Linked DNA regions of Callithrix jacchus. Each later gene encodes a partner of the first gene's protein in a complex. Links are inferred from orthologs where the notes say so. Each region holds a gene or a part of one and is shown on either strand. Other genes may lie near its edges.

Region 1 (9,455 bases):
TTCTGGATGAGCCCAGCATTTGCCACCTAGAGTAGGGGGAGGGAACAACAAGGGGCTTAGCTGCTTAACCCTAGGCATGCCTTGTGATTGGCTCTTTCAAAACATTTTTAAAATTCTGAAAGCAAATAAAAATGTGCTACAAACACCCTTCCGGGTATCTTTCCTCTCCCCTGTCCAATCCTTCCCACCCAGCAGCATTTCAAAGGTATTCCCTGTGAGGTACAAAATTTCTCTCTGCCCATTTTTCTGCACCTCTTTTTCTCTCTCTTTGGTATGTGTCCACCGAGCTCATAGAGGTTTAAGTGATGAAATATTATCACCCACATGGGTTTGCGTGGGACTTTCTTAGTGAATTACTCAGGCAGAGCAGGCTGTGATACAGCCTTGCTCACAAGCCTCGGGAGAGAAAAAATAGCACAGAGGCTGAAAAGAATATTATCAGAGAGTAGGTAATGAAAGGTTAGCAAAGCAACCAGCTATATCTGGCTAGCTAGGTAATAGTGAAGGAACCTAGGTCGCTCCTGTACAAACTAATGCAGAAACTGCTCACAGCGCATTATGGGAAGGCTTTTATTTCAAGATTTTACAGCATGAGATATTTAAGTGAAAGCTCAAACTGATTAGAAATTGATCCCCAACACCTCAGCCTTAGTCAACCTTCCCTTTTTCAAATTGTTACGCATGGAGACTGGAGGATTGGGGCACCTTGAAAATGTCACTGCACTATTGCAGTCTCTCTCAGGTAATATAAAGGGAATATAATAAATTGACCTGTTATTCATTATATTTTTCATACCTAGGACATTCCAGGGCTGTAATATATTTCTGAAGCCTGCAGCCCTGATAAACATCAATCCCATGTCAGTTTCCAGCAGTCTCACCTCCCCACCCCCTTCTGCAATGAAAGCTAATGTAAAAGAAAGAAATATGCACTGCTTAATAAGTCAGAATACAATAGAACTTGTAAAATGTACCTGCATACAAGGTAGACATTAGGAAGACTTGACTCTCTCTCTTCCCCCTGTTCTCCTGAGCATTATGGCAACAGCATTTTCATGAAATTAGATCTGTTTTTTTTTTCTTGATATATCATGCAATATACAAATAGCAGTTCCAGAAATGGACACCAGGAGAAGGAGGCGACAGGCATGTCAATTAGTAGGGGGAAAATCCAAATGTCAGAAATATGGGGGAGAGAGAAAGCACGCAGGCAGTGGATGCACATACAGGAAACAGAGTCTTTCAATTCATATAATTAAACGGATGCATAAATCAGCGCCCGCGCCCCTCCGCAATACTCAGGCAATGCCATGCAGTTAATTATCAGCCAAGACCAGCATGAAAGTCATTTTATGATGACTCTCTGATCCTAATATAACAGCACCTGACAGATTGAGCCCCCTCTAATGAGTACTCTCTTTGTACAATCCTCTCTCAGGAACACTAAATCATTTGCTTCCAAGTACAGCTGCCTGTGAAGAAGGGGTGGGGCTAGATCATGCCTTAGAAACCTGCTCTTGTGAAATGAGGGGCTGTCCTGTAGGCTGTGTGACTGGAAGCCAGCAGCCACAGCCTCTCCAGCCCCACAAAAGCAATTTGCACGCGGCTGCACTAATTCCAGTCAGCCAAGTAACCCTCCCTCGGCACCCCCACCCAAACATCTGTAGTCTGCCCTGGATGTTATTCATGGAAAGGTCGCTGCAGGCAGGTCAGCACTGCTGTCCATCAACCTTCACCCTGACCCCTTCTGGCAGGTGTGGTTGAGAGCAGAGCAGAGCCCATGGGGATGAGTTACCCAAAACCCAGTGAACCTCCCCATCTGGGCACTAGTCAGACACTCCAGTTTCACATTCTTTCCTAGAAAAACAAAGCCCAACCTTGTGCCCTCTGGCTTCTCTAATTTACCAGCTACTATCTCTCCGTTTTGGAGTGACACCCTGTGCAGTTTAGGGTTTCAGGAGCTGTCCTGCGTGGAGGCAGAAGGGAAAACAGCGGGTAGCTTGTTAACATTCTCCAAGGGGCAGGGCGGATGTGCCCACGCTGGAGGTAACCTGCACACCCTCCGGGCCAGTTATCTGAGGCTTGGGAGGTTCCCCTCAGCCTTCTCCTACGGCCTTGGCAGGACCTTGCCACCTTAAAATCAACTGCTGATAGTCTTTTTAGATTTAAATAATTAAACTCTGCTTCTGGAAATCTCTTTTACTTTATTAAAAAACAAACAACAACAACGAACCCCCCACCAATTCTTAGCAAAAGGGAATATGGAATTCAGATTTTGAAAAAATAAGTCATCATGCTTCCTAAAATAAGACCGCTTCTCCCTCTAACTGCTCCCTGCTCTGGTATTCTATCTAATCTTAAACCCAACTTTATTATTCATTTCAACTCCTGCCAAAGACATGAGGTCGGAGTCAGAGGAACTCCCCTTACCACCACCACCATCATCATGGCCAGCATCCTCGTACGTTTATAGAAAGATGCCAGAGAACCTTTCATATCCATCTGCAGCCCTGCTTGTCCCTTGCCTCAGTGAATTTACCACTATCATAATCACAGTGTGCAGAGTGTGTTAAATTAAGAACAGAATCTACAGTACGCAATGCACAGAAAAGCCTGCCTTCTGCTGCAGAGAACTTGAAACTGTGCCTAAAATTTATAGTACCGTAAACATCTCAGGGCCTCGAGTGATAAGTATGGCTGGATTTCCGTTAACTATAGAAATCCAGGCAGGGAGATCCTCCCAGGGAGTTGCGAGTTCTAAGATGAACTTCTTAAAGATTGTTCCCAGATTTGTGCATGGGATATATGTACAGCGGACAGTTGTAAGGAGGTCCATGGTCATGGGAAAGAGGATGTGTTTCTATATGCCACCAAGGTGGGGAAAATGGAAGTGAGGGAAAATATCTGATTAATCAAAAAATTCTCATTTGAAAACCTGCTTTTATAGTAAATGCTGCTGCATGATTAAACATGCAGGTGCTTAGGAAAAGAGAAGGAAATAGGTGATTTCCTAATTTTAGAGTTAGACTAGAACTGCATGTTGCTAAGTTCAACTGCCCTGACAACGTGGGGACTTCCTGTGTATTAGCAGCGATTGCTATTTGACATAGGTTTCTGGTGCTCACTAAGCTGCACTCTAATGGGTCACAGGCAAAAACAGAGGATTCAGAGGTATGAGGTGGCTATCTTAATTTAATAGAACTCAAGGCTAAGGACTCCTCCATGAGTTAAATAAGTAATCAAGTCATTGCCTACTTTCTGCTAAACACTAGACTATGCTAGTGACCTTAGACCCTAGGCATTCTAAACCAGGCTGGCAGGAGGGTGGTGGTGGAGGAGATGTGAGGGAAGCCTCCTTGAGAAAGTGTCATGCAAGCGATCTGAAAATTGAAACAGTATTAAAGGCAGCCCTAAGGGTGGTATGCTGGAGTTTGAGGGGGGCAGGAGCACTTGAGGCAGGAGAGACAGCAGGTGTCACTGCCTGCAGGTGAGGGAGGTGTGGTTCTCAAGGCCTCAAGGGAATACTGTAGCTAGACCCCAGAGAACAGGACTGGGCAAGAGCTGGTTTTCAAGGTAGAAACAGCATGCGCACAGCCCAAAGTCCTGGGCAGTTTCTGTTAGATACTGAGAGCAATAGGAAGTCAGTAAAGGACTTTCAGGAAGAAGTGGTGTGATCAGATCCACCTGCAGGAAAGATCCTTTGAGCTGCTTATGGAGAAATGACTGGAGAGAAGGCCTGTCTCGGTCAAGCAGAAGCAAAGTAAAGAAAATGCTGCTGGTGACCCAGCAAAGAGGTGACTGGGGAGGAGTCAGGCTGTGACACGGGAAGAGGAGGCTGGCTCAGTGTGTCCCTCCTGCACAGACCTACACACTGAGGTGGGGCCAGGGGCTGCATTTTTGTCTGAGAACAGCATTTCCTTAGCTTTCTAGAGCTTGCACGGTCTTTTTGTTTCTATTATCTCATTTGATCTTCCTCAACCTGTGAGATAACAGGTCAAATGTCATTATGTCATTCCCATTTTATAGAAGACGAAACTGAGGTTAAGCAATTAGTCAACAGACACAGACCCTCAGGCCCTCTTCATTCTAAAGTAAGGGTCCAACAACTTTTTTCTGCAAAGGGCTGGAGAGTAACTAGTTTAGGCTTCATGAGCCAGTCTGTTGCAGCAACTCAGCTCTGGTTTATAGCGCAAAAGCAGCCGCAGGCAGCATGTACAGACATGAGCATAGTTGTGCTCCAGCAGAACTTTATGTACAGGCACTAACGTACAGAAGCAGTCACGGCTTGTGGGCTATTATTTGCTGACCCCTGTTGGAGAGGGTCTATCACAGAAGACTCCTGCTTGTCTGGAATTTGTGAATGCATGTTAAAGTTGGAATTAACAGGTGTCCCTGTTTTCTCTTATGCTGTCTTTCATAATTAGGCACAGCCAGGAAGACGCTGCACTTCGAGATTTCCAAGGAAGGCAGTGACCTGTCAGTGGTGGAGCGTGCAGAAGTCTGGCTCTTCCTGAAAGTCCCCAAGGCCAACAGAACCAGGACCAAAGTCACCATCCGTCTCTTCCAGCAGCAGAAGCACCCACAGGGCATCTTGGACACAGGGGAGGAGACCGAGGAAGTGGGCTTAAAGGGGGAGAGGAGTGAACTGTTGCTCTCTGAAAAAGTGGTAGACGCTCGGAAGAGCACCTGGCACGTCTTCCCTGTCTCCAGTAGCATCCAGCGGTTGTTGGACCAGGGCAAGAGCTCCCTGGACGTTCGGATTGCCTGTGAGCAGTGCCAGGAGAGTGGCGCCAACCTGGTGCTCCTGGGCAAGAAGAAGAAGAAAGAAGAGGAGGGGGAAGGGAAAAAGAAGGGTGGAGGTGAAGGTGGGGCAGGAGCAGATGAGGAGAAGGAGCAGTCGCACAGACCTTTCCTCATGCTGCAGGCCCGGCAGTCTGAAGACCACCCTCATCGCCGGCGTCGGCGGGGCTTAGAGTGTGACGGCAAGGTCAACATCTGCTGTAAGAAACAGTTCTTTGTCAGTTTCAAGGACATCGGCTGGAATGACTGGATCATTGCTCCCTCTGGCTATCATGCCAACTACTGCGAGGGTGAGTGCCCGAGCCATATAGCAGGCACATCCGGGTCCTCGCTGTCCTTCCACTCGACAGTCATCAACCACTACCGCATGCGGGGCCACAGCCCCTTTGCCAACCTCAAATCGTGCTGTGTGCCCACCAAGCTGAGACCCATGTCCATGTTGTACTATGATGATGGTCAAAACATCATCAAAAAGGACATTCAGAACATGATCGTGGAGGAGTGCGGGTGCTCGTAGAGTTGCCCAGCCCAGGGGGAAAGGGAGCAAGAGTTATCCAGAGAAGACAGTGGCAAAATGAAGAAATTTTTAAGGTTTCTGAGTTAACCAGAAAAATAGAAATTAAAAAAAAAACAAAAACAAAAACAAAAAAGTAAATTAAAAACAAAACCTGATGAAACAGATGAAGGAAGATATGGGAAAAAAATCCTTAGCCAGGGCTCAGAGATGAAGCAGTGAAAGAGACAGGAATTGGGAGGGGAAGGAAAAATGATGTACCCTTCATTTCTTCTAAAATCACACTGATGACATCAGTTGTTTAAAAGGGGTATTGTCCTTTCCCCCCCTTGCAGTTCCCTTGTGAGCCTTGAATCAACTAGTCCAGTCTGCAGTAGTGTGGACTAGAACAACCCAAATAGCATCTAGAAAGCCATGAGTTTGAAAGGGCCCATCACAGGCACTTTCCTACCCAATTACCCAGGTCATAAGGTATGTCTGTGTGACACTTATCTCTGTGTATATCAGCATACACACCATACACACACACACACACACACACACACACTAATCGTGTGCAGGTGGTCACACTTCCTTTTTCTGTACCACTTTTGCTACAAGACAAAACAAAACAAACAACATTAAAAAATTGAGAACAAGCATGGAAAGAATGAAAGATCATGGAAAAGAGAAACCAAGTTACATTTCGTTAAGGTGCTTATGATCTTAGAACTATGCAACCTAATAGGTTTGAAACTGTTTACCTGAGAGAGAACAAAAAGAGAGACTTTTTTTGTATTGGAAGTAATCTGATTAATTTTTATTTTCTTCAAGGAGAGATACTTGAAAGGAATATGTTTGTCCATCTGTTGGATCCAAACATTTCTATATTTTGTAAATGTTGTTGTTGTTTTTAATCGTTTACTATTTGCACTACAATGGTGTTTGACCTGTCTAATCCTTATTTAACAAGTATTTTCTTTGGGTGGGGGTGGGGGTGGGGTTTAAGAGCTGCACTTAATGTGAGCTATAAAAGAACTGCTACAGCACACAAAATAGCTATTTTTATTATTATAATTATAATTATTATTATTATTTTGTACCTTAAAAAATAGACACATACACCAAAGACATTTGTGTGAGCCTTTAAACAGTCTGTCTGTGGTTGGTATCATTTACCATCAATAAGTCAGGGGTTGGGAGTAGTGCGGATTGTGTTCAGGCTTAAAAGACCTGAGAAGTTTGGTTTTTGACTCCTTTTACATCCACGAAACAGGACATTTCATACTGCATGTACAGTAGTTGTACACTGTTGGATATCAAGTTCAATCAGCTTCATGGAGCTACATGCTTGTATGTGTATATATACATTGCTTGTGCATATGCATATCTGTGTGTATATATACATGTATTGTACCATGTCCATACACATTTTAAGCACTTCAGGCTGTCATTTTTTAATGTCCTTAAAGCAATGAATGTTTGTGTGCAAAACACAGTATTTTTAAGATGAATAGGCTATAGTTTTTGCTTTTACTCTGAACTAGGTGGGCACATTTAAAACATTTGGATGGGAAAAAGCCTGGAAATTCCAGCAAATATTCAGCAAGGCCCTCTTTCGATGTACAGGGATCAGACTGCCTCCTCTTTCTTGTCCCTTCTCCCACTTCTACAAGTTATCCCCTGTGGGGAAAACAGGATGATAAGAAAAGCTCTGGGCTGATATTTTTCCAACTTACTGTCTATTGGAATCAATCTTAAATCAGAAGATTTTTGAGAAAAAAATAATACTTAGGCCAGAATTAGAATTTAGTGCATTTTTAAAAAATGATTCAGGCTTGGTTGTGAGATATATTACCCATACCAGCTGGGTAAAGTAATGTTGTCACTAATTAAAAGAATTAATTGATGAGAAAGTGCTGAGAGAAAGAGAGAGAGAGAGAGAGAGAAAGAGAGAGAGAGAGAGAGAGAGAGAGAGAGTAAGGAAAAGAACAGTTAAGAGGAGGCAAAGACGAGGGCAAGTAGTGAAAACCTCTAATATTTTAATTTATAGCCAAAACTCTTCATGTGTAAATTTGTATTGATTCAGATGCAAAGAGGAAAAAAATAACTTTGTTTTATAAATATCAAAGTACGTGCTTAAAGCCACGTTTTTATCTAGTTTATTCTAGTACTTAGCTTGCCTAGAAGAGGTAATAAATTATTCATTTTTGTGCTTTTGAAAATACAGAGCCTTATTTTTACAGACTTGTGTGAAGTTGGCAAATATTTTGAAAAATGGAAAAAAAGTTTCTGATAATTGGGAACAATTATATTCATTAATATTTTGTAAACTATTGAAGCTTTTAGCCCCATGTCAATTTGTAGATTAAAAAATTATTATAGGAAAAGGTATCAGTGAGAAACGAAACATTACAAAAAGTGGTTTATCTCTTGTTGAAAAGTAGACTAAGTTGGTATACTGTAACGCTAGGCTATATGTAGGCAACGTCACTATTGGGCAAGTTCATTTACTATATTCTAGGGGCCACCCTTTCTTATGCAGAAAATATAATAGGCACTGCATGAGAAGATTGAGAATGGATTCTAATCGGGGTCCATTGACCTTGGATATCATGCATGTGGGAAGGTGGGTGTGGTGAGAAAAGTTTTAAGGCAAAAGTAGATGGCCATGTTCAGCTTTACAAAATTTCATGGAAAACTGGCAGCATTTTGAACCACGTCTTCTTCGGTACTGGAATCTGCAGAAACAGTGTGAGAAATTAAGTCCTAGTTCACTGTGCAGTAGCAGAGATGGCTAAGGCCATGGAAAAAGCAGAAATTTACAAAGACAGCTGATACCCATGTATAGTTCCCATTCATCTCAAATACATCTGCTATCTTTTTCAGCTAAGTCCTAGATATTTTGGGGTTAACATGGCGGTTGATTAGTGACCACAGTTATTAGAAGCAGAGAAATGTAATTCCATATTTTATTTGAAACTTATTCCATAAATTAACTGGATATTTAATGATTGGGTTATCAAACACCCAAAAACTGATTTTGTTTAATTAAATGTATATGGCTTTGAAATAGATGTATAAATTGCTACCATTTTTTGATAGTATTGAAAGATATCATTTTACCATCTATAATAATATTGGAAAATACAAGCCCTGTGAACAAGTACTCTTTCACCTAGCAGCAAGAGGCCAAAAGTAAAGGTTTTTAAATTCTACCATATGAGGTTCTTAGTATGTTTTTTCTTGAAACCAGAGTGGCGCTATCTAACCTTGCTATTTCCTCACTCTTTCTCTAAGGCTAAACTCTAGGCTCTTAAAAATCTGCCCAAACCAATCTTAGAAGCCCTGAAAAGCATGTGTCTTCAGATATCTTTTAATAGTAACACATATTTTATGGACCAAACTGACATTTTCTATTTTTTTTTTTTCCCCAAAAAGTAGGGTGAATTCCAGCACGCTGAGATGGGAATTTCTTATCCCAGAAGACCAACCAATTTCATGTTTATTTAAGATTGATTCCATATTCCATTTTCAAGGAGAATCCTTGCAGTCTCCTTAACAGTAGAGCAAATAATATTTTTTTCACCATTGTGGGATTGGACTTTAAGAGGTGACTCTAAAAAACAGAGAACAAATATGTCTCAGTTGTATTAAGCATGGATCGATATTATCATATTCATTTAAAAAATGATTTCCTGTGCACCTTTTGGCAACTTCTCTTTTCAGTGTAGAGAAAAACTTAGTCACCCTGAAAACCCACCAAATAAATGAAACTTGTAGATGTGGGCAGAAGGTTTGGGGGTGGACATTGTATGTGTTTAAATTAAACCCTGTATCACTGAGAAGCTGTTGTATGGGTCAGAGAAATTGAATGCTTAGAAGCTGTTCACATCTTCAAGAGCAGAAGCAAACCACATGTCTCAGCTATATTATTATTTATTTTTATGCATAAAGTGAATCATTTCTTCTGTATTAATTTCCAGTGGGTTTTACCCTCTATTTAAATGCTTTGAAAAACAGTGCATTGACAATGGGTTGATATTTTTCTTTAAAAGAAAAATATAATTATGAAAGCCAAGATAATCTGAAGCCTGTTTTATTTTGAAACTTTTTATGTTCTGTGGTTGACGTTGTTCGTTTTTATTTTGTTGGTTTTTTT
Region 2 (10,084 bases), on another chromosome or scaffold:
ACCACACAACTCCCTGTCTTAAAACCCTCCAAAGGCTTGCTACTTCACTTTGAATAAAATCCAAGGACCTTACTTTGGTCTATAGGCTCTTGCATAGACTGAAGCCTATTTTCCTCTCTCTCCTTATTCATACTACTTTCCTCATTGCTATGAGAACTTTCTTTCAATTTCTTAAATCCATCATAGATACTGTTTATTCTTCACTAGCTTCTTTCATGGGTATCGCCTTTTCATCTTCCAGGTTTCAGTTGAAATGTTGCATCCTTTGTAAGTCCTTACTGAATCATTTTCTCTAGATTCCCCTCTTCCTATACTATCCCATTGCTCTTTAACTCAGCATTCGGTCTGCTTTTATAAATAATCCTTTTTATTTGGGAATTACTTGTTTACTGGCTGTTTTCCTGTCTTCTTCGTGATACTGTCAGCTCAGTGATGGTAGAGACTATCCATTTCATTCAACAATTGTCCAGTCAAAATCTAGCACAAATTCTGTACCTAATAGTTACTTGTTGAATAAATAAATGAATGCCACAGAGAGTGTAATGAAAATGACTGACCCTTATGCAGACTTGTATTTTAGAAAATTGCAGGAGTATAACATCAAAGCTTGAGTTGAGATTTTAAGCAGTTGTCAAAGTGGGTGAAGGACATTTTTTGAGAAAGAATTGTGTATACAGTCTGCTTTCTACTCTAGTAGGAAACCTACTCTCAGATTTGCTATGATGAATTTCCAATCTATGAGAACTTCATGAGGTAAAAGTACAATAAAATTGAATTATTAAGAAGTTGAAGCTGGGTGCAATGGCTCACACCTGTAATCTGGGCAGTTTGGGAGGTTGAGGTAGGCACATCACTTGAGCTCAGGAGTTCAAGATCAGTCTAGGCAACATAGCAAAACATCGTCTCTACAAAAAAAAATATTGGAAAAAAAAATTAGCCAGGTATGTTTGGCACATGCCTATAGTCTCAGTTTCTCAGGAGGCTAAAGTGGGAAGAGCCTGGGAAGTCAACGCTACAGTGTGTGGTAACTTCACCACTGCACACCAGCCTAGGTGACAAAGTGAGACCCTATCTCAAAAGCAAACAAACAAAACCCAAAAAACGAAACACTTGAAATTAAAATAATAATAAAGAAAATATAAGCTTAATTATTTTACAGTTAGTTTCAACAGACATAAATATCATCAAGTTTCTACAAAACTTTCTAAACAATGTTGTCTATGTCCATACATATCTCATTAAATATTGGTAGCACATTGTTTGAAACCAGCACTGGTTTAAGACCTACACTTTGGTTATTGCAGGTTTACTCATCCATTCCTCAAATGGAAGGTTTATGCCTTCCATTTGAGATTGGTTTAAGGTAACAGGTCTCAAATTCTGAACTCTTCTTTGTTGGGTATGCTAAATGCCCAACTTCCTGCAGAGTATTTAGCATACTAGCTCCAGCACACTAAAAGCCAGTGCCACCTCCTTTACCAGTTATTGTCCAAACCAACACCTTCCCTACCTCCTACCAACCAACGGGGGCGCATCAGTAACACCATCATCCTGAACCACTTGGGTGTGTGGGTTCTGACAGTTGCTCAGTAGTTTTTCGAGAATGCACTGTGGTTATCAGCCTGGGGAGGAATTGAGTCCTAGTACCCATTCAAGCAAACTAAGCAACTGTGGTCATGAAATTAAAGTGGAGGGTGGGAAAGAATCCTTGCCAAATTAAGCCTGTTATTTTTGTTTCCTACCTATTTCTTGAATTTTGAAAGGGGTGATAATGGGGAGAAAAAGTCAAATATTACCTCTGGGATGTTAGACAGAAACCAGTTGGTTGTTGAGATTTATATTACATCACAGCTAGTTTCTCTTTAACTCTTCTAACTCACTTTCTTCACCTAAAACCCTTTGTCTCATCCATTACTTACTGGGCCCCTTATCCATTCCCATATTCTTATACTCCTTGGTATGTCTCTTTTTGACCCCATTGGCACAGTGCAATGCTATATAGAACATAAGAAGGGGAGGAAAAAATAGCAGCAAAAGCTAGGTTGTAGAGAATTTTCTTCCCACCTTGGGCACTTAAGTAGAGGGGGATATTTATAAAGGATACATCGATCATTTCTCCCTTCCTTGGACTCATGCATTATGCCTTACAGCACTGGCATATAAGAAACTCATTACTTGTGCCACTTCAAGAATGCTCATGTTATCTGAACACAGGAGAGTTTTATAGTAGCTAGAAAGCAGCAGAAATACTTCTAAATCCTTCATTTAAGGGGAACTCAACATCCTTCATACTCCAAAGGTTTTCAGTCATCTTCCTGAAGATGAAGGAAAAGAGAGTAGAAATGTCTTCCTTAAGTGTCTGTTGGTGGGTCCAAAGGCAAGTTCCATTACAGCCTGGTTCATTTCCAGCTCTACTTAACTGAAGATTTAAACTTCTTCACATCTTTTGAGCTGTGAATTTGTAATACAAAAAGAAATCTTTTATTCTGGAAGCAGTTTGTCTCACTTATTTACCTCTACCTCCTCATCCAGCCAACATTCTAGATTGAACTGGCTTCTCAAGATTCTTCCATCTGGGAATAATTTTCAGTTCAACTGAACGTGGCAAGACTCTGAACTTAAAGTTCTAGTATTGGAGTGGCCACAGGGCTAGGTCTTGGGGTTGGGAAGTGAATGACGATGCTAAAGATATTTATCTCATAATGTCCGATGCTCTGGTCGTTTAGAATTCATGCTTCCTTTTCCTTTCCTCTCTCATTTTCCTTCCCAAACCAGGTTGTACACTTTGCAAGGTGTTAGGAAGTGGCTGGATTTGTGGATTTAAAAAAGTGATTCTAGAAAATAAGGAGAAAAGAAGGACAATGGGGTTAGCCCTAGCTACCTCTTTTTAAGTTTTGAAGCTCCAGTGGGAATTAATCAAAACTCCCTGTCATTTTAGGTTACATTATTTTTGAATTTTTTAAAAAACTGAGGGGGCAAAGTAAACACATTTAGGAACAGAATAGCTAGCTACTGTTACTGGTTGTTAATACTTCTCCCCTGGGGTTATTACTATTATTTTTTGTCTTTGTTAGAAAGGAATGTTCTAGTGAAGACTGGTTGCGTGTCTTTAATACTACAGAAAGATGATTTTCATGCTCTTATTCTTATACTGGCAAATTCAGTTGGTAAGATAAAGAATATATTTTCAAGTTTCAGTTGCATTACTCACTATTCCAGTTATTCCACTTGCTCTGGTTTCACAATTAAAGAAATATTGAAATGATGGATAGATAAGACAATAGTGGGGCCTGACCCTGACAACACATTCTTTAATGAACTTCAAGTGTTTCTAGAGTAAAATATACTCTTCCATTCCAGAACCATTAGTGAAACTCTTAGTTCAACCAGAGAATGGAAGGTTTATACATATTCCTTTGCCAACTCACAAAGGTGGGAGAACTACATGAAATCAGACACCTTTAATACCGACTTGGGATTTTAACTGTTGCAAATATCAGTGAAATTCTGAGCACCACGACTTGAGAACTGGAAATCTTGGAGAGAGTTTAAAAAGCCACAATGATTATTAATAACCCTGACAAGTTGTAGAAATGGGCAGATAATTACAGGATGAACTTAATAGAAATACGGAGTAATTTAGAGGAAGTCAACTGCTATAAATATAAGTGAGAAGACTTGATTTTGTGGGAAAAGGTGGGAATCAGTAAACCACAAGTAAAACATAAATCAGCTATATAGTACAGTTGCTTTATTATTATTATTATTAAAAAAAACTTTGTAGAGTACATTAAAGGAGACTGTACTTAAGGGAAAGGCAGTTATCCTTTAGTCATTTATACAATTATTTATTAAGCACTTATCATGTGCCAGTTGGTACTTCTGGGTGCTGGAATAAAATAAGGAAAAAAAAAAAATCAAGATCTTTCTTCCCGAAGCTCACTAAAGTGTGGTAAATGACAGAGCAAGTACTTTCAATGGTCTTTAGTTTGCATTCTGCAGCCAACTGAATACAGCAAATACTAAAAGCTACTTGAGGTAGGGATCCATCCTATTTTTACCTGTTGGATCCCATTCCGTGCCTAGCACACCAGCTTGTAAGCAGTCAACATGGATTAAGGAGTAAAAGCAGGCCCTAAAAGAGCTTAAAATTTGAACATGTAAACACTTGTCTGATCATTAAATATGTCGATCGAAATTCCCAGTTTTTTTCTTCAAAGCGCAGTAAACAAGTATTTGTGCCCCTATTACGTACAAAACAGTTGTCAACACAATTCTTTGTGTGTAAAAGGAACGGTGGGAATGAATTCAAGTTGGGCATCGTGATAAATGGCGTGAATACCCTGACCGGGTGGACAGCCCTTCCTCCGTGTTTTTTTTGCTCTTCTAGTCACCAAGAGAGCACGCGTGTGCAAAAACCGCAGCGGTGGGATGCACAGCTAAATCTGGGGGCTCAGACACCAGCTCGCGGATTGCGAGCTCGCCTGGGCAGCTCGGCGGGCGCGGCGAAAATAGCTCCCACGGCCGGCTTCCACCGATTCCTCGGTCTCCGAGAGGACGACGCGTCCCCGCCAGAGGAAAGACTGGGCGCCACAGACGCCCCTCGGAGAAGCACCGGCCACTCGCCCCACCTCGGGGTCCTGTTGCTTTTGGGCTTCCCCTGACCCTTCGCGTGGGCGCTCCAGAGACGTCAGTGGGAACGCGATTTGCAAACGGGGCGCGCCCGGCCACAGCCCAAGCACAGCTCAGAGACTTTGAGGCGCCCGCGCCCCTTTGTCGCGGGATCTCTCGCCCAAGCAGGCCGGACGCCGAGGCCTCGCGGTATCAAGCCTCCGTCCGCCCCGCCTCCTCTCCCTCCACTCGGCCCCGCCCTCGCTCTCTCACCCCTCCCCCGCTCCCGCCTCGCTTCCCCGACAATCTCCTCGCGCTCCCGGCCCGGCACGCGCGCTGCGCCGGGCCGCCGCTGCAGCCGCCGCCGCCGCCGCTGCCGCCGAGCGTTCCTCCGCTGCGCGGGGCTTCCAGCTTCGGGCCGGAACCGGAAGTGTGGGGGGCGGAGCCCGGCGGAGGCCAGGAGACCGAAAACGCGGCCGAGTCCGGAGCCCGGAGCCGGAGCCGGAGCCAGAGCCTGGACCAGAACTTGGCCGCCGCCTGCACCGCCGCTGCCGCCGCTGCCGCCCGCCGCCCCTTCCCCGCACCGCAGCCGCCTTGACCGCCACCGCCGCGAGCTTGGCCGCCAATGGTCCTGAGACATTAGGTGTCCGGGTTGAAGGTCGGTCCGGACGTCGGACCCAGTCGGTTCCCAGACTGTCCGGGCGGCAGCGGACGCCGCCGCCGCCGCCGCCTCCTCGTCGCCTCAGCCTGGCGTTTTGTTTCGAGAGACCGGAGAGGCGAGCGGAGCTGACAGTGATTTTGACAGTGATTTAAACCCGCTTTTGTTGTTGTTGGCTTTTCGTTGTTTGGTTTTGTGTGTTGTGCGTGTGTGTGGCGGTTTTTCCCCCGTGGTGCATTTTATTTTTTATTGTTGTGCTCTTTTTTCTTTTTTTGTTTTTTAAACCCAGTGAACGTTTTTTTTTTTTTTTTTGGTCTGGGCTCCCGAATATGTTTTATGACGGTTGATTTTACACCAGGAGGTTTGTCTCCGAGGAAGACCCAGGGAACTGGATATCTAGCGAGAACTTCCTCCGGATTCCCCGGCGTCTCGGGAAAATGGGAGCTGCTGCAAAGTTGGCGTTTGCCGTCTTTCTTATCTCCTGTTCTTCAGGTAGGTGCAGGGAGCGCGGCGCGGCGGGGCTGCTCCTGCGGCCGCGGCGGCCGCTGCTGGGGGCCGCGGCTGGTGTCGGGTCGGAGAGTCCAGTGGAGCCTGGGGAGGTTGCCCACACCCCGCGCCCCTCGGCTGCCACCCCCCAGGTCTGATTGTGATCTGGGAACCTCCATGCATTTTTCTCCTTTTGAGTTGGGTTGGCGTGATAAGAGTGAGTGCTGTGTTGTTGTGGAAGTGAGAAAGTCATGTTTTGTGGCCATAACACTAGATGACAAGGCTGGTTGGGTTGCAATTAAGCCGCAAATACCACAAGTGGCAATTTATGCAAAGGTTGAGACCCGAAAGGAGTATTTAGTGTGGGCTCCCCTAAAACCAGGGTTGCTTTTTGTCATCTTTTAATTGGTGCTTCACCCGTGAATATCACGACATAGATCAAGTCAGTTGCTGCTTAATTTTGGCTGTGAGAAGCAGTACATCCTTTCAGTAGATTAATCTGGGTCTCCCCTCACGTTTTCTTCAACTTCAGTGTCCAGCAGTGTTAAAAATAGTTGTAGTTGTTGTTGGAGTATTAACTATAACCCACTGCAGAAGAGGTATGCCGCTTGGGGTTGGTAATGTGCTGGTGTTCAACCACCATTTGTGTGCTCTTTGGGGGCATAGATTTTGCTTACCTACGGAATACTTATTTTAAACGCTTTGTATTGAAGCGTTGTTTTCGGTTTAGAACAACCCATGTGAAATTGTTTCTGTTGAATATAATAGACTCATAAAATAGGTTTTAGCTAAAGGTTGGGGGAATAATCTGGCCATTTCATATTGGAAATTTCGATTTTGTGAGAACGTTCTGTGGTTGCAACCAGTGGTTGGAAAAACTATCTAGTCTTTTGTATTTGAAATTCTATAAATGTATACATCATTAGCTCAGAGGTGTGCAGATGTACACAACAGGAGACTTAGTTCAATAGATGAAACATTTTAAAAGTCTCATTGGATCTATTTATCGTAAAATTTAATATTCAGTTACCAGCTTGTGGCATAGAATTACTGGGGACGGGTGGGGGGGGCAAATTGACAGGTTTCATGGCCATGTCTTTATCTCGTTTGCCATAGGAAAATTAAAGGGTGGTAGTCTTCTTTGTGTACCTCTATGGGGTGTGTGTGTGTGTATGTGTGTTTGTGTCCATCTTCCCCAACCCCCTTTAAATAGAATCTTTTGTAATGTATAGAATTTTGCTGAATGGTACATTTCCTTGTGGTTAATAAATGGATAAAGTCTAGTCTTATGTCTGTAGTGGTATTGATCAGTTCCGGGTGGGCTGAATGTGTTGTGAAATGGCGATCATTGCCAGAGATTAACCAAAAGAATCATGTCTGTTTAAATGGAAGAAGGAACATGCTTAAGGCAGGCTGACAGTTCTTTTTGTGCATGGTTTGGGGAGGAAGCTAAACAATGGTGTGTCTGAAATGAATGAAGGCCTTGATAACATTAAACCTCTTGCTCTTGTGACATGATTTAACCATGTAGTTTTTATCTTTCCAGTAGTACTCTTTTTTTTTTCCTGCTTCTATATGTTGTGGCTGGTGAACTCCTCTTGTTCAAATCCCTTGTTGTGATCTCTTGCCCTTGAGGAGGAGGGGCATCATGGCCACTGACCAAGGAATTGTGGACATTATTCCCTCCAAACCCACCTGAGTCACACTAATTGGTGAAGGAGGTTATTCTTGAGCAGTCTCAAGGTATTACTTCTGGAAAAGCAGGCTGTTGCTACAGATCTTACAGCTTCCTCTGCTTGGTTTGGTAGTAAAAATAACTGAGCATTAGTTTCTTGTGGGATTATTTCCATTGGGCCAGGATTGTTTTCAGTGGGCCAGGAGGTTAACAGCTATAGTTTTGAAATAAAGTAATTTTGTTGCTATAGGGCATATAGATAGTCCACTTATATTAAATTAATATTGTGTTGTTGCATAGGCTTTTTAAGATGAACATTCCCAGTTGAACAAAAATTTGTGGTTCTGTTGAAGATAATTGAAATCTTAAAGACCCTAATCCATATTTATACATGAAGAATTTGAGTACTTAAAATGTCTGATTTTTAAAAGGCTTTTGTTATGGATCAGATGCACTCTAAAAAAGGATTATTGTGTTTCTCCAACTAATTGATTTTTCTACAAAATGTGTAATCTGGCATATTGGAAACATGAGGTAACTATTTTTATGAGAATTTAAAAAGTTCTCAGTTTGTCTATTTTCATTTCTAGATATTTTATTTCATTTTTTAATCAAAATGGGAAACAATAGTAAGAACAGTTTTGTTCCAGGTGTTTAGGAGGAATGTTTACTATTTCGTGGACTCTAATTTTTCAAATTCTATCCCATGATATGTATTCTGGAGACTGATTATGCAGACTATTCCTGTAGGATATGGCCAAGTGTATAATTTCTTCCTCTTTCTCATTCCAGGGGAAGCATTTTAAATTTTGCCCTCATCCTTGAGTGCCTTCAGATTCTCTTTGATTTTGAATTTTTTCATTCCTCTCATACCTCCTTAGATTCTGTTTCAAAACATAAATCTTAGTTTTCTTTTTATAGCATTGTGGTTAATTTGTATCTTTCCCCACAGTTTGTTAAAGTATGAGAATGACTTTAGTACTTGCCTTAGTACTTAGGTTTATCCCATTTAGAGTGATGCAGCTATTGTGGTATTTGAGTTGCATTGAAGTAAGTTGAGAATTCCTTTGGATTTTGTGGGAGCTGCAGCAGTATGGTCAATCTATTTGATGAAATAGGAAATGGAAATATGGTAATCATGTTACATTTTCTTCAGTTTAGCTAGGCAATACTGTGTATGTGTGAATGTATGTGTGGTTGGAGGGAGAGCTGGCAGTACAGATAATCTTTTGAACTTTGGCTAACAAGTGATGGATGTTAACACTTTGTTTTCTAAAAGGCAGAATCTCTTATAAATGCTGTTTGCGGTCAAATTCAAATATATACATTTGAAACATGGAGACCAGAAAAAAAATGAAACAAAGTTCTCCTGCCATTCATTTTGTATTATTTTTTTTCCTATTTGTGATCTAAGCCAGTAGTTCTTAGGCTGGGGTGATTTCCCCCTCCCTAACTCCCCAAATCCCCATCCATGGGACATTTTGAGACATTTTTGGTTGTCACAACAGGGGCGGGGTGTGCTACTGGCATCTAGTTGGGTAGAGGGCAGGAATGCTGCTAATTGTCCTACAATGCACTGTACAGCCTTCCACAACAAAGAGTTTTCTGGCTTAATATGTCAGTAGTGTAGAGGTAAAAAAAAAAAAAATCCTATTCTAAGAAAACCATATACTACATGTTCTCACTTATAAGTAGGAGCCAATTGATGAGAAAATATGAAAACCAAGAACAGACAATGGGGTCTACTTGAGGATGGAGGGTGGGAGGAGTGAGGTGAGCAGAAAAGACAACTATTGGGTACTGGACTTAATACCTGGGTGAAGAAATCTGTACAGTAAACCCCCATGATATGAGTTTACCTATGTAACGGACCTTCACACCTACCCCTGAACTTAAAATACAAAAAAAAAAAAGGAACAACTCAGTTCTTAACTCTTAATATTTAAAAGCATTAGTTTATTATTAAAAGGGCTCTGCTCTCTTCCCCCTAAAGTTTGTAATCTGTGTTTTACAAGTGCATGGTATTGATGATCTCCCGGTGACCTTGTATTGAAAGTTTTTATCTTTTCATTATCTTTTAAAATTAGAATATGATTAAATTGGAGAAACAAACTATAGATATGCACATCTTTCGTCCTATTATTCTATAATAAAAATATTTTGATGAGTTATGGATAAACTCTCCTCTCACCTATTTTGATAGAGTGCTCATGAAGACTGAATGTTCATGGACATGATGTATGATTGGTTAAGGTATCAAGTTTAATTATATTTGCTTTAGAGCCAGGATTTTCTTTGCTGTGATATTATCTTTAAGGATATTTGTGTTTATTCTTAGTGACATCATTGGGCTGCCTTGTGGTGGTATGTGTGTGTGTTTAACATGTTGCCGGAAATATGTTCACGATTACATGTTCTCTGAATGGTTTCAAGGTAGAAATTCTGTTTTTTAAAAAAATGTATATTCCTTTTGTCTAACTTTAATTTCAAGGAACTTTAACCTAATCTCTTAGTTACATAATTTTCTTGAGAATCATTAGCTGGGTTTGGTTACCATTAGACTAATTTATGATACAGTAAGTAATATTTTATGATCTATTGCAGATCCTTTCCCTTTTTAAGGTTAAATCTTGACCATAATTAATAAAATAGCT
Region 3 (10,043 bases), on another chromosome or scaffold:
ACAACAATGTCATATGAGTTTAAATAGCTATCTGGGGAGTTAGATTGAATCATTTGCTAAACTCTAATATTTTAAATTTATAAACTGCAGAAGGAAGATAGCTTTTGAAGCTGACAAAAGACCAATCAGAAAACAGTAGTCTTTTTGTGTGCTGCCCAGAAATTCAGTTACAAAGTGGTCCTATTGTTTCTCATAATTTACATTTTTTTTTGGCAGAGCAGAAAGGAAAAAAATAAGAAGTCAAACTTGGAGGCATACAACAAAAATGAAAGGCGACATTTTTACTTTAAAATTTCCCCTTGACATTTAGATATCCACAAACCCAATATTTAACATTTACAGACAATATAACAGTAAAAGAAATAGCAGCTGTTTTTCTGTGACGTCACTGAACAGGTGTGGTACCATTTCATACCACAGAAATGGGATGGATCTCTTGCTGATGCCCACAGAAAGCCCATATGGAACCAGTATTGACCTATGTCTCACTTCCTCAGTTATGATCAGAAAATAACCCTGGATGACAAGAGTCATGGTGACCGATCTGTGCTGATTTGAAGCAGACGTTCTCCCAAACAGATCAATACTATCCAAGGTGCAGCTGAAAAACAGGATGAGCTTGTATCATTAAACAAACACCAAGCTGCTTATTCACAAGGGCAAAAGCAACACACAGCACTTGTGTTTTCCACCGTGTGTTTGATGGTGACCTCAGCCCTGACCTGCAGGGCCACCTTCTCTGGGACAGAAGTAATCCTGTGCTGGGTCAGCCTCTGGTACTGAGGGACTCCTATGAGTGGCGGCATTTTTTACAATGAGAGCTACTGTGTCTGCTTTGGCTTAGCCAAGACAATTACATGATGCCAAAACAACTAGTCAATGCAGTTAATTTAGTCAAATGACTGGTCTGAGTATTTGGCATTACACAGACAAAAAATGAAATAGGAAGGAAATTTTAACTTTCACCCAATCATACTGCAGTTGTGAGGTTACAACTTAAATTAATTTAGAAAATTTTTGTGACATCAGTTGTTTCTATACACATAAACTAAAATAACTATCTGGATAAACCAAATAGTTTTGCTCAAACATGCAAGTTTTTTGATTAGCCCCTCCAAATTGCTTCTATTCTAATTTTCATTTAGCTACATAACCTTCCCCCCAAAAAGGTAATCTTTTTGTATACTTGTATGACTCTTTTATATCAACATGTTATATGTACATATGTGAATGAACAAAATTAAAATCTAAAAAGAACATGCAAGTTATATCATGTTCTCTTTGCTATAGGGTTATAAAATATGATGAGATCATGAACTTCAAAACAATATTCCCAAAGATATTCAGAAAATAAATATGGACTAAAATGTGATTCTGTATTTCTCCAGGCAAGATGACTTCATATACAACTGGGCATATAAGTAAAATTTAAATATTTTGGATAGTCCTAGAGTGGAAAGTCTAAGAAAAAGACCCCAGCTTCCAGAGGCTACTGGCCAATTCAGGATCAATAAATATATTTAAACTGGGGACAAACATAAAATCATGTAATTATGTATGAATGAATTTGACAGCATCACCATAAGATCCAACCACTTACCATCTTAAGATCTTTTATGTATTTGGGATGTTTAATTTTCAATCTTGGATATACTGTTTGCCCTAACTTAAAAAGAAGCTGTGTCTCTTGCTGCCATTAAAAGTGGGGGGGGCTTGAAAAAGTCAAGTAACAATACGTGTTAACTTCTCTTTCATTTAACTTTTTCCTGGTGTAGGTGGGGAGAACCTTGAAGCAGAGAAAACAAACTTTTCCTCCAGCACATCATTGTATAAGCACTATACCATCTCTCTGAATAAAGACGAAGAAATAAATTCAGCTTTGGAACTCTGCCATTGAGTGGCGGCTCCTGCAAAGGGGACAGTTTTCTATTAATTGTTAATGTCGTCTGCCATTAGAGGGCACTAAACAACTCTACATTAATGAGTTGGAGGGAAGAGAGAAAAGGAGACGGGAAAAGAAAGAGAAGGGGAAAAGGGAGGGCGAGTCTGGGTAGAGTCCGGGTAGAAGGAGGGAAGGAAAGAAGAGGGAAAGGAGTCGGGGAAAGAGAACAGAGGGAATGGGTGAGAGAAAGGGAGGGAAAGAAAGAAGGGGAGAGAGACATAGAGCGAGACAGAAACAGAGACAACATGATTCTGGAAAGATTAAGAAGCATGTGGAGCCCCCACAGCCGTCTGAAGTGAGCAAAAAGCCAGCCTCCCCCGGGCCGCCCGAGCCCCTCCCCTCCCGTCCTCACGACGGTAATTATAAAGCGAAAAGCGGCGGCGAGGTCACCCGTTTTTACCAGCCTGCTGCACCGAATGCGCGCGGTGCAGGTGCGGCGGCCGCGGGGCTTTGTGATTCATGCCCACTTTCAAAGGGGGGCTTGGGCCCGTCTGAGAGGCACCCAAACAACTGTCTTCTAATATTAGCACGGCTGTATTTCGGGATCTATTATAGTCTGTCCAGACAGATCCCATTGTAATGGGATCTTTTATTAAAAGATTAGCACTATCTCCTGCAGTTGGTGGAAAAAAATCTGTTATCACTGAGTTATTTGCAGTTGTGGAGGGGGGAAGGTTGCTGGAAGATGGGGGGTGGGAGGGCGAGAGGAAGACTGGGGGAGGGTCTGGCAGAGGGAGGGGAGTTGCAGGGGGCGGGAGGGGGAAGAAGGGCCGATTTGAAATCCGTAGGAGAACAAATCCCAGTGACCTGCGAATGTCCAAGAATCTTGTCTGCATACTTCGCTGTCTGTTGTCCTTCGGGCTTCAGAAGCGAAAAGAACAGACATTTAAGAGGCAGCTTTGGAATAAACAATATAGCATTTTCCGTGAAGTAATCGTTTTATATAAAAGGAAATATCGCCTCCTCAGTTTCATTCAGCGGTGCCAAAAAATGTTATAAATGAGAGACCCGCCAACTTTCAGCAAAGAATGCCAGGCACTGTACTTAATAAACTGAGGCTACAGAAGTTCATTATGGATGTTGCAATCTTTTTTATTCCGCGAAAAGAGAGAAGACGAGAGAGAGAGCGACAGAGAGAGAAAGAGAGAGTGAGAGAGAGAGAGAGAGAGAGAGGCTGGAGCCGAGGAGACTGAGAGAGGCACACAGGACAGAAACTGGGGAGTCTCCGGGCAAGGGAGGAAGGGGGGCCAGACCGCCTACGTCGGCGCCCCCGCTCCGGGCTCCGACTCCAGACGCTGCGAAGTGAAAGGGGAGAAAAGAAAGGGAGAGGGCGAGACTGTGCCGGGGGGAGGCCGGGCCTGAGGTGTTAAACATTTTTGTTTGCTTCTGACTCGCCCAGACGAAGGGCCGCGTCTGGGCAGCGCTCCGCCAGGGTGGAAGGTGCCGGGGCCGGGGTTCCTAGCAACAACTCTGAGCTGGGGGTGGCCGCAAAGTCAGGCACGCACAGACCCAGACACAAAACCCCGCCGGCCCCGCGCCCAGGCTGCGGGGGCCGGGAACTGCCCCGAGGCCGGCGCTCTCCGACAAGACCCGGGGCGGGATATTTGGGCAGCCCGGGGCTCTCCGGGCGTTTGCAAAGTCTCTGGAGCGGAGGAGCGCCAGCACGGAGACTAACTCCCGGGTTCCCCCAGCTCCCCCCGCCGTCGCCTCCAACGCCCCCACCGCGCCCTCCCTCTCACACTCGCGCGCGCACACACTCACACACAGACACACACACACACACACACACACACACACCCGCCACCCCGGGCGCGCCGGCGCTGCCGGCGAGCGGCGGCGAGCAGAACTTGAAGTGGGTGTTCTTCCCCACTCCCCACCCCCGATGCGTCGCCCCCACCCCCCGCCCCGGTCGCCTTCCCCCTCCCTCTCGCTCCTACGCAAATAAGAACTCGACGATTCCCCTCCAGTCGTTTTGATTTCGGGCACCTCCGAAAGATAATTGGGAAGGGTTTCCAGAAGGTGGGAAATGTCACCTGATTCACACTGAACTTTTAAAAGCTCCCCACCCCCAAGGAGCCGCGCACACCCTCGCTCGCGGCCGCCCTCCCACTGCCCCACACACTGGGAGACCGCCCACCGCAAACCGCGGAGACCCCCGTCTAGATTTAAAGCGCGGCTGCGCCCGGCTTCTGACGTCCATTGAATCGCGCGGGCGGCGGGCGGCGAGCGCGGGGTTGAGCCGGGATCGCTGCGCCCTCAGCCGCTGGCCTCTGCGACGCGCGCCGCTCACCCGAACCACCCGCCACCGCGCCGGCTCCCGGCACCGCCGCGCTACTCGCCCTGCGCCTGCCCCCAGGATGGTCCGCGCCAGGCACCAGCCCGGTGGGCTTTGCCTCCTGCTGCTGCTGCTTTGCCAGTTCATGGAAGACCGCAGTGCCCAGGGTAAGCGAGGGGGGATGCGCTGGGGAGGCTCGACTGAGGGCAAGGGGGTCGACTTTTCTGTGGTCTCCACTTGGTCTGTTCTGAGCAACGCTGCTCTCGGAAGATGTTGGACCAACTTGGGGACTCCGGGATGGAGAGGAGTGGGAAAATTGAAGGCAATGACACTTTAGGACTGGGAACGGAGTTTGGAGCTCGGTAATCTTGAAAAAGGAAAAGGAGCGAGCTGGGGTCTGAGTAGTTAGGGTTAGATGCTCCAAGTTCTGGCCATGATAACTTTAGATGTGATCTCCTCTGTGGGTCTGACTAAGGGAGCAAGTATCAGTAGTAGCCTGGAGATTTCAGTGGACCCATTTGCAGTTTCTCTCCTTCCCAGATCTTTCGAATACTTTAAGAAAAGCGGGGGAGAACCTGGGGGTTGGGGGAGATATACTGAAATTTTCTTCGGAGGCTGGGGGACGTGGTTTCAGAAACTTTGCCCAAACTTGGAAATGTGGGTGCTGAAATTTTTCAAGGGAAGTAGCTTTCTGCCTAGTGGATGCTTCTTCCAACCCCATCCCCCATCCCCGCAAAGAAAAAAAAGGAGCCAAATTATTACCCCGAAGTGCTTTCAGCACTTTAGTTTTTTTTCCCTCCGCCTCATTCTTCTTTCTGACTCTTAGCCTTCTGTAAAACAGCGAGCAGCCCATAACTGACTTGAATTCTGAAATGGGCTAACAGCAAATTTCTGAAGCTTGCCTTTAAAAAATAGATTTGTTTATTTCAATTAGTCTTTGGGCAGAATGTTTAAAATAATAATAGCAGTTTACAGTCCAATGATTGTTAAAGTCATATTGGTGATTCGTGAGAAGTCTTCCCGGCCCAAATCCGAACATTTAAAATGGGGGAAGAGGGATAAATCACTTGCAAAGATTTCTTGCTAGGTATGAAGTAGGCACGTATAACCGTGAAATGGTAGGAAACCTGCCCCCTTTAAGGCATTACTTTCCCTGCTTCAGCGTTAACATTTTAAGTGTGTTGTATACTGCGCTCCTGGCCACTGCCCCTCCCCGTCTGCATGGCACTGCGCTGGGTTGCCCGCCTTTCGGGGAGAGGCGCTGCCTGGTGCCTGGACGTGGGCGCGGAGGAAAGCAGCGCTCGGAGATTTCGAAAGATCGCGGTGGCCGCAGGCGTGCTCCGGGTCTGGCGGATTGCAAAACGGGCCCGTCGGGCGGGCTGCGCCTCCAGGCCGCGCGGGGTAGCTCCGTGCTGGGCTGGGTTGCTTTTTTTGCTTTCATTTTTCACAAGTGCCTTTTGCTTGATCTGCTCTCTCTCTCTCTCTCTCTCTCTCTCTCTCTCTCTCTCTCTCTCTCTCTCTGCCCCCCCGTCTCGTCTCTCTCTCCCCTCTCTCGTTCTCCCACTTTCTTAACCCCTGTCACAAATAATTCCTGTACCGCCTACATGAAACCAACATGTAAAAACATCCGTCGCATCCTGTTTTTGTCAGGTTCTTTAATCTGCTCTTCGAGTCGCTGCAGGTTATGAAATGGGACGAATAAAAGTAAACAGTCTAGTAAAAGTCAATGCAAGCTGCACGTGTTGTGTCTGGGTCACTGGTAACTGACATTGATATGGCTGGGGCGCTCTGTCTTCTCCCTCTCTCCCTCCCTCCCTCTCGCCCACCTCCCATCTTTGGGATCAGGGCTTCCCCCCACCTTCTTTTCCCACCCCTCCACCCCTTTCGATTTATTTCCTACTTTCCCCCCCGCTTCTCCAGCGTCTCTCTCGCTTCCCCTCCTCCGTGATCACCCTTCCCGTCCGCACCGCCGGGTCTCCTTTACTAACCACCCCCTCCCCCTGCCCCGCCACCGCTCACTCACCCACCTCCCCACCCCTGTCTCTTCACAGCTGGAAACTGCTGGCTCCGTCAAGCCAAGAATGGCCGCTGCCAGGTTCTGTACAAGACCGAACTGAGCAAGGAGGAGTGCTGCAGCACCGGCCGTCTGAGCACCTCGTGGACCGAGGAGGACGTGAATGACAACACACTCTTCAAGTGGATGATTTTCAATGGGGGCGCCCCCAACTGCATCCCCTGTAAAGGTAGGAGTCCCTCCCGACTTGCAGGCCCTCAGTAGAGGGCGTATACCCCTTCAGCTTCCCCGCTACCTGGCTGGGCTTTGGGATTGGAGAGCTTTGTTCATGGGCTTCCCCTTTCTTCCCCTTGCAAATTCGAATTCTGCATGTTAAAAGCTGTAGGCAAAACACCCCAGACTTCTTAGCCAAGTGTGGTGGTGAAGCCCGCCAACCCGTGCTCCTTGACGAGAGAGATCTGGGCTTGGGGCATAGCCCAAGGTCCGCACTCTTTCACCACCTCCCAATCTTCTAGGAGAGAGCCTGGGCCCCTCCAGCGCAAACTCAGGGCTGCAGGATTGCGCAAGGCACCCGAAGCCCTCCTGGCTGACCTGCAGACTGCCTGGCTCTGGTTTTAATCCATTCCTGTTTCCAACTCACAGAAACGTGTGAGAACGTGGACTGTGGACCCGGGAAAAAATGCCGAATGAACAAGAAGAACAAACCGCGCTGCGTCTGCGCCCCGGATTGTTCCAACATCACCTGGAAGGGTCCAGTCTGCGGGCTGGATGGGAAAACCTACCGCAGTGAATGTGCGCTCTTAAAGGCGAGATGTAAAGATCAGCCAGAACTGGAAGTCCAGTACCAAGGCAGATGTAAAAGTAGGTCCTCCCCTGTTGAGCAAGACTGGATCTGTGCCCCTCCTCCAGCTTTGTACCTAAAGTAGACCCTCTAGCAGACCCCTGGGGGATAGTGTAGTCCACAGTAAGAGCCTGATAATAATAAGACTGAAACCAAATAAAGGAGTCCTTTTCTAACTTCTCAAGACTCATTAAGAACGCTGAGGGCGTTAATGTTCTTAACCTAGAGTCATAGATTCTCTATTGAAAACCACAGGGCTCCCAAAATGCCTTTGGAAAGCTGGATGCTTCAGTGTCATGATTTCCTTAGTAACTTCAAGTGCTCATTCCCTAACGACTAGACGGTACCTTTTCATGTGTGTTTCCTTCTTTGTTCCAGAGACCTGTCGGGATGTTTTCTGTCCAGGCAGCTCCACGTGTGTGGTGGACCAGACCAATAATGCCTACTGTGTGACCTGTAATCGGATTTGCCCAGAGCCCACTTCCTCTGAGCAATATATCTGTGGGAATGATGGAGTCACCTACTCCAGTGCCTGCCACCTGAGAAAGGCTACCTGCCTGCTGGGCAGATCTATTGGATTAGCCTATGAGGGAAAGTGTATCAGTAGGTATTCTGGATTGAGGAAAGAAAAAGTGAAAACAGGCTAGTTCTGGTGTTAAACTGTGGGGTTAACTAATAAGTAAAGCCCAAGCCATCCCCAGACACCATAGGGAGAAACACGCTGCAATTTGGGGAAACTGTTGTGACCACAGCATTCCTCATGGAAACCGTTCTTCTGGAGGCATTGACATATATTTAAATGCCAGCAGGAAGCAAAAAACAGTATTTCATCTTAGAAAACTTAGAACTCACTCAATTTTACACATTTTTTTAAGTGCCAGACTTGCTGGAAGCGAAAAATAATTACTTAGCAATTCCTGAAATCTGTTATCAGATTCTAGTAATTGATGGAATTCTTTCTTTTGCAAAATATCCCACTTGTGGGAAATAATAAGATACATATTTAACTCAAGAATATTGTAACATCTTGTTCCAAAAAAAATACTATTTTCATACACTAATGTAGTATGTAAGAAACTGCAGGGGATTTTTGTGTGTGTATGTGTGTGTGTGCATTTGAGTTTCAGTTTTATTATCCAGCATTTTTGCGTAAAAGCTCCATTAGCCCATCTGTAATAACATAGAAATTATGTTTAGGAGAAAGGGAGAAAAGGGGGATATGGGGAAGTCAGTTTACTCATCACAAATGTATTGTATCCTAGAAGCAAAGTCCTGTGAAGATATCCAGTGCACTGGTGGGAAAAAATGTTTATGGGATTTCAAGGTTGGGAGAGGCCGGTGTTCCCTCTGTGATGAGCAGTGCCCTGACAGTAAGTCGGATGAGCCTGTCTGTGCCAGTGACAATGCCACTTATGCCAGTGAGTGTGCTATGAAGGAAGCTGCCTGCTCCTCAGGTGTGCTGCTGGAAGTAAAGCACTCCGGATCTTGCAACTGTAAGTGCGATTTTTAACCTTGCTGCCATTTAAGGCTTTCCCGGGCAACCCCTAGGGAATGGGCACTTAGAAAGCAAGCAGATCTCCCACAAAATCCATTTCTGTTCAAGTTAAATAGCTGCTGAGTATCACCAGCAATTCAGTAATCCACAGAAAAATTATCTGCAACGTTTCTTGGCTTTTAGGACTTATCCAGTGATCATCAATGGGCTGCCTCTAAAAATCCATTTCCAGTTGTTCACCCCTATTTCTTTTGCTTTGGTAGTGTGCTTTGCTGTTTGCTTTACTAACATTTGAATCTAAACTAACTGCTTCAAACGTTTTTTGTTTTTTGTTTTTTTCCAAAGACAGCTTCATGTTATCACACATGGGTTGCTGCTTTTTCGCAGTTGCCTCTACTCTGAATTAAGGACTCAAAGCAGTTATACCTAGAACACAAGAGCGCTTTTTATCTAATTTCAGGAATCTGCCTGTAAAACCTGAGCCATTGATTCTTCAGAACTTTCTGCAGTTTTTGACTTCATAGATTATGTTTAAAAAAATTTTTTTAACTTATTGCTTAACAGCAGATGCCAAAAACAAAAAAAGCATCTCACTGCAAGTCACATAAAAATGCAACGCTGTAATATGGCTGTATCAGAGGGCTTTGAACACTTACACTGAGCTGCTTCTGCGCTGTTGTTGTCCATATTTAAACAACAGCTCCCCTGTATTCCCCCATCTAGCCATTTCGGAAGACCCCGAGGAAGAGGAGGAAGATGAAGACCAGGACTACAGCTTTCCTATATCTTCTATTCTAGAGTGGTAAACTCTCTACAAGTGTTCAGTGTTGGCATAGCCTTTGGGCAAAAAAAAGAAAGAAAAAAGCAAGAAAAAGAACAAAAGAAAAATATATTGTCTATACTGTAAATAAGTGTATGCTTATTTATTTGGGGGGAAAACTATACATTAAAGGACCTTTGTCCTAAAGCTCTCTCCCAGGCCACCTTGTTACTCATTGGACACGGAGAGGCATTCTTTGTGAGGTCTACTGGATGAGGCCCATAGTTGAGACTTGTAGACATTTATTTATACTGTGTCATGTTTTATAATTTATACATAAAATGTCTGGTTGACTGTATACCTTGTTTTTGAAGAAATTTATTCGTGAAAGGAAGAGCAGTTGTTATTTATTGTAAGGTCTCTTGCTTATAAAGTAAAAGCTTTTTTTTCCTTGTAAACCATTTAAGTCCATTCCTTACTATTCACTCACTCCTCTGTCTCCCTTCATTTCACTGTTAGACTCTTTTCCACTTTTAGCAAACTTGCATGTCAGTTTCTGTCATGTTTATTTATTGGATTCTCTGCTGCCTGATCTGTACATACATGATCCCTCGGGTTTTGTTTACAAGGAACCTTGACTGACCAAAAGGCATTATAACTCTGACTCAAATACAAGGTACAGAGGATAAGCATCTTTGAGGAAACTCCTGCTTCAG

Evidence for each region.
Region 2: the proteins of INHBA (region 1) and ACVR2A are in contact, whole or in part, in a crystal structure (PDB 7U5P), measured with the Homo sapiens proteins. The link is inferred for Callithrix jacchus from reciprocal best matches to the Homo sapiens genes INHBA and ACVR2A. Residues at the interface, in NP_002183.1 of Homo sapiens: Ile340, Ala341, Pro342, His346, Arg397, Pro398, Met399, Ser400, Met401, Leu402, Tyr404, Asn409, Ile410, Ile411, Lys412, Asp414, Glu421; in NP_001265508.1 of Homo sapiens: Asn36, Asp53, Lys56, Phe61, Thr63, Lys65, Val74, Lys75, Cys78, Trp79, Leu80, Asp81, Asp82, Ile83, Asn84, Val100, Phe102.
Region 3: the proteins of INHBA (region 1) and FST are in contact, whole or in part, in a crystal structure (PDB 2P6A), measured with the Homo sapiens proteins. The link is inferred for Callithrix jacchus from reciprocal best matches to the Homo sapiens genes INHBA and FST. Residues at the interface, in NP_002183.1 of Homo sapiens: Asp315, Phe327, Asp337, Trp338, Ile340, Ala341, Gly344, Tyr345, His346, Gly360, Thr361, Gly363, Phe368, Thr371, Arg397, Ser400, Leu402, Tyr404, Asp405, Asp406, Gly407, Gln408, Asn409, Ile410, Ile411, Lys412; in NP_037541.1 of Homo sapiens: Trp33, Arg35, Val44, Leu45, Arg60, Phe76, Met79, Asp135, Glu152, Pro154, Glu155, Val180, Val181, Asp182, Gln183, Tyr188, Val190, Arg221, Thr224, Cys225, Arg229, Ser230, Ile231, Gly232, Leu233, Glu328.

What each region holds. Positions count from the first base shown.
Region 1 is NC_133512.1:9,930,990-9,940,444, reverse strand, and holds part of INHBA (inhibin beta A chain), read left to right. Parts: intron 1-974; exon of another isoform or gene 975-1,128; intron 1,129-4,424; coding exon 4,425-5,317; 3' UTR 5,318-9,455. UniProt on the Homo sapiens protein: Inhibins/activins are involved in regulating a number of diverse functions such as hypothalamic and pituitary hormone secretion, gonadal hormone secretion, germ cell development and maturation, erythroid differentiation, insulin secretion, nerve cell survival, embryonic axial development or bone growth, depending on their subunit composition.
Region 2 is NC_133507.1:82,529,173-82,539,256, reverse strand, and holds the start of ACVR2A (activin receptor type-2A), read left to right. Parts: upstream 1-5,043; 5' UTR 5,044-5,269; intron 5,270-5,594; exon of another isoform or gene 5,595-5,627; 5' UTR 5,628-5,706; coding exon 5,707-5,761; intron 5,762-10,084. UniProt on the Homo sapiens protein: On ligand binding, forms a receptor complex consisting of two type II and two type I transmembrane serine/threonine kinases.
Region 3 is NC_133503.1:156,368,835-156,378,877, reverse strand, and holds FST (follistatin), read left to right. Parts: upstream 1-4,136; 5' UTR 4,137-4,299; coding exon 4,300-4,384; intron 4,385-6,268; coding exon 6,269-6,460; intron 6,461-6,873; coding exon 6,874-7,092; intron 7,093-7,450; coding exon 7,451-7,675; intron 7,676-8,334; coding exon 8,335-8,565; intron 8,566-9,027; coding exon of another isoform or gene 9,028-9,029; exon of another isoform or gene 9,030-9,290; coding exon 9,291-9,373; 3' UTR 9,374-9,475; downstream 9,476-10,043. UniProt on the Homo sapiens protein: Multifunctional regulatory protein whose primary function is to antagonize members of the transforming growth factor beta (TGF-beta) superfamily including activin, myostatin, GDF11 or bone morphogenetic proteins (BMPs).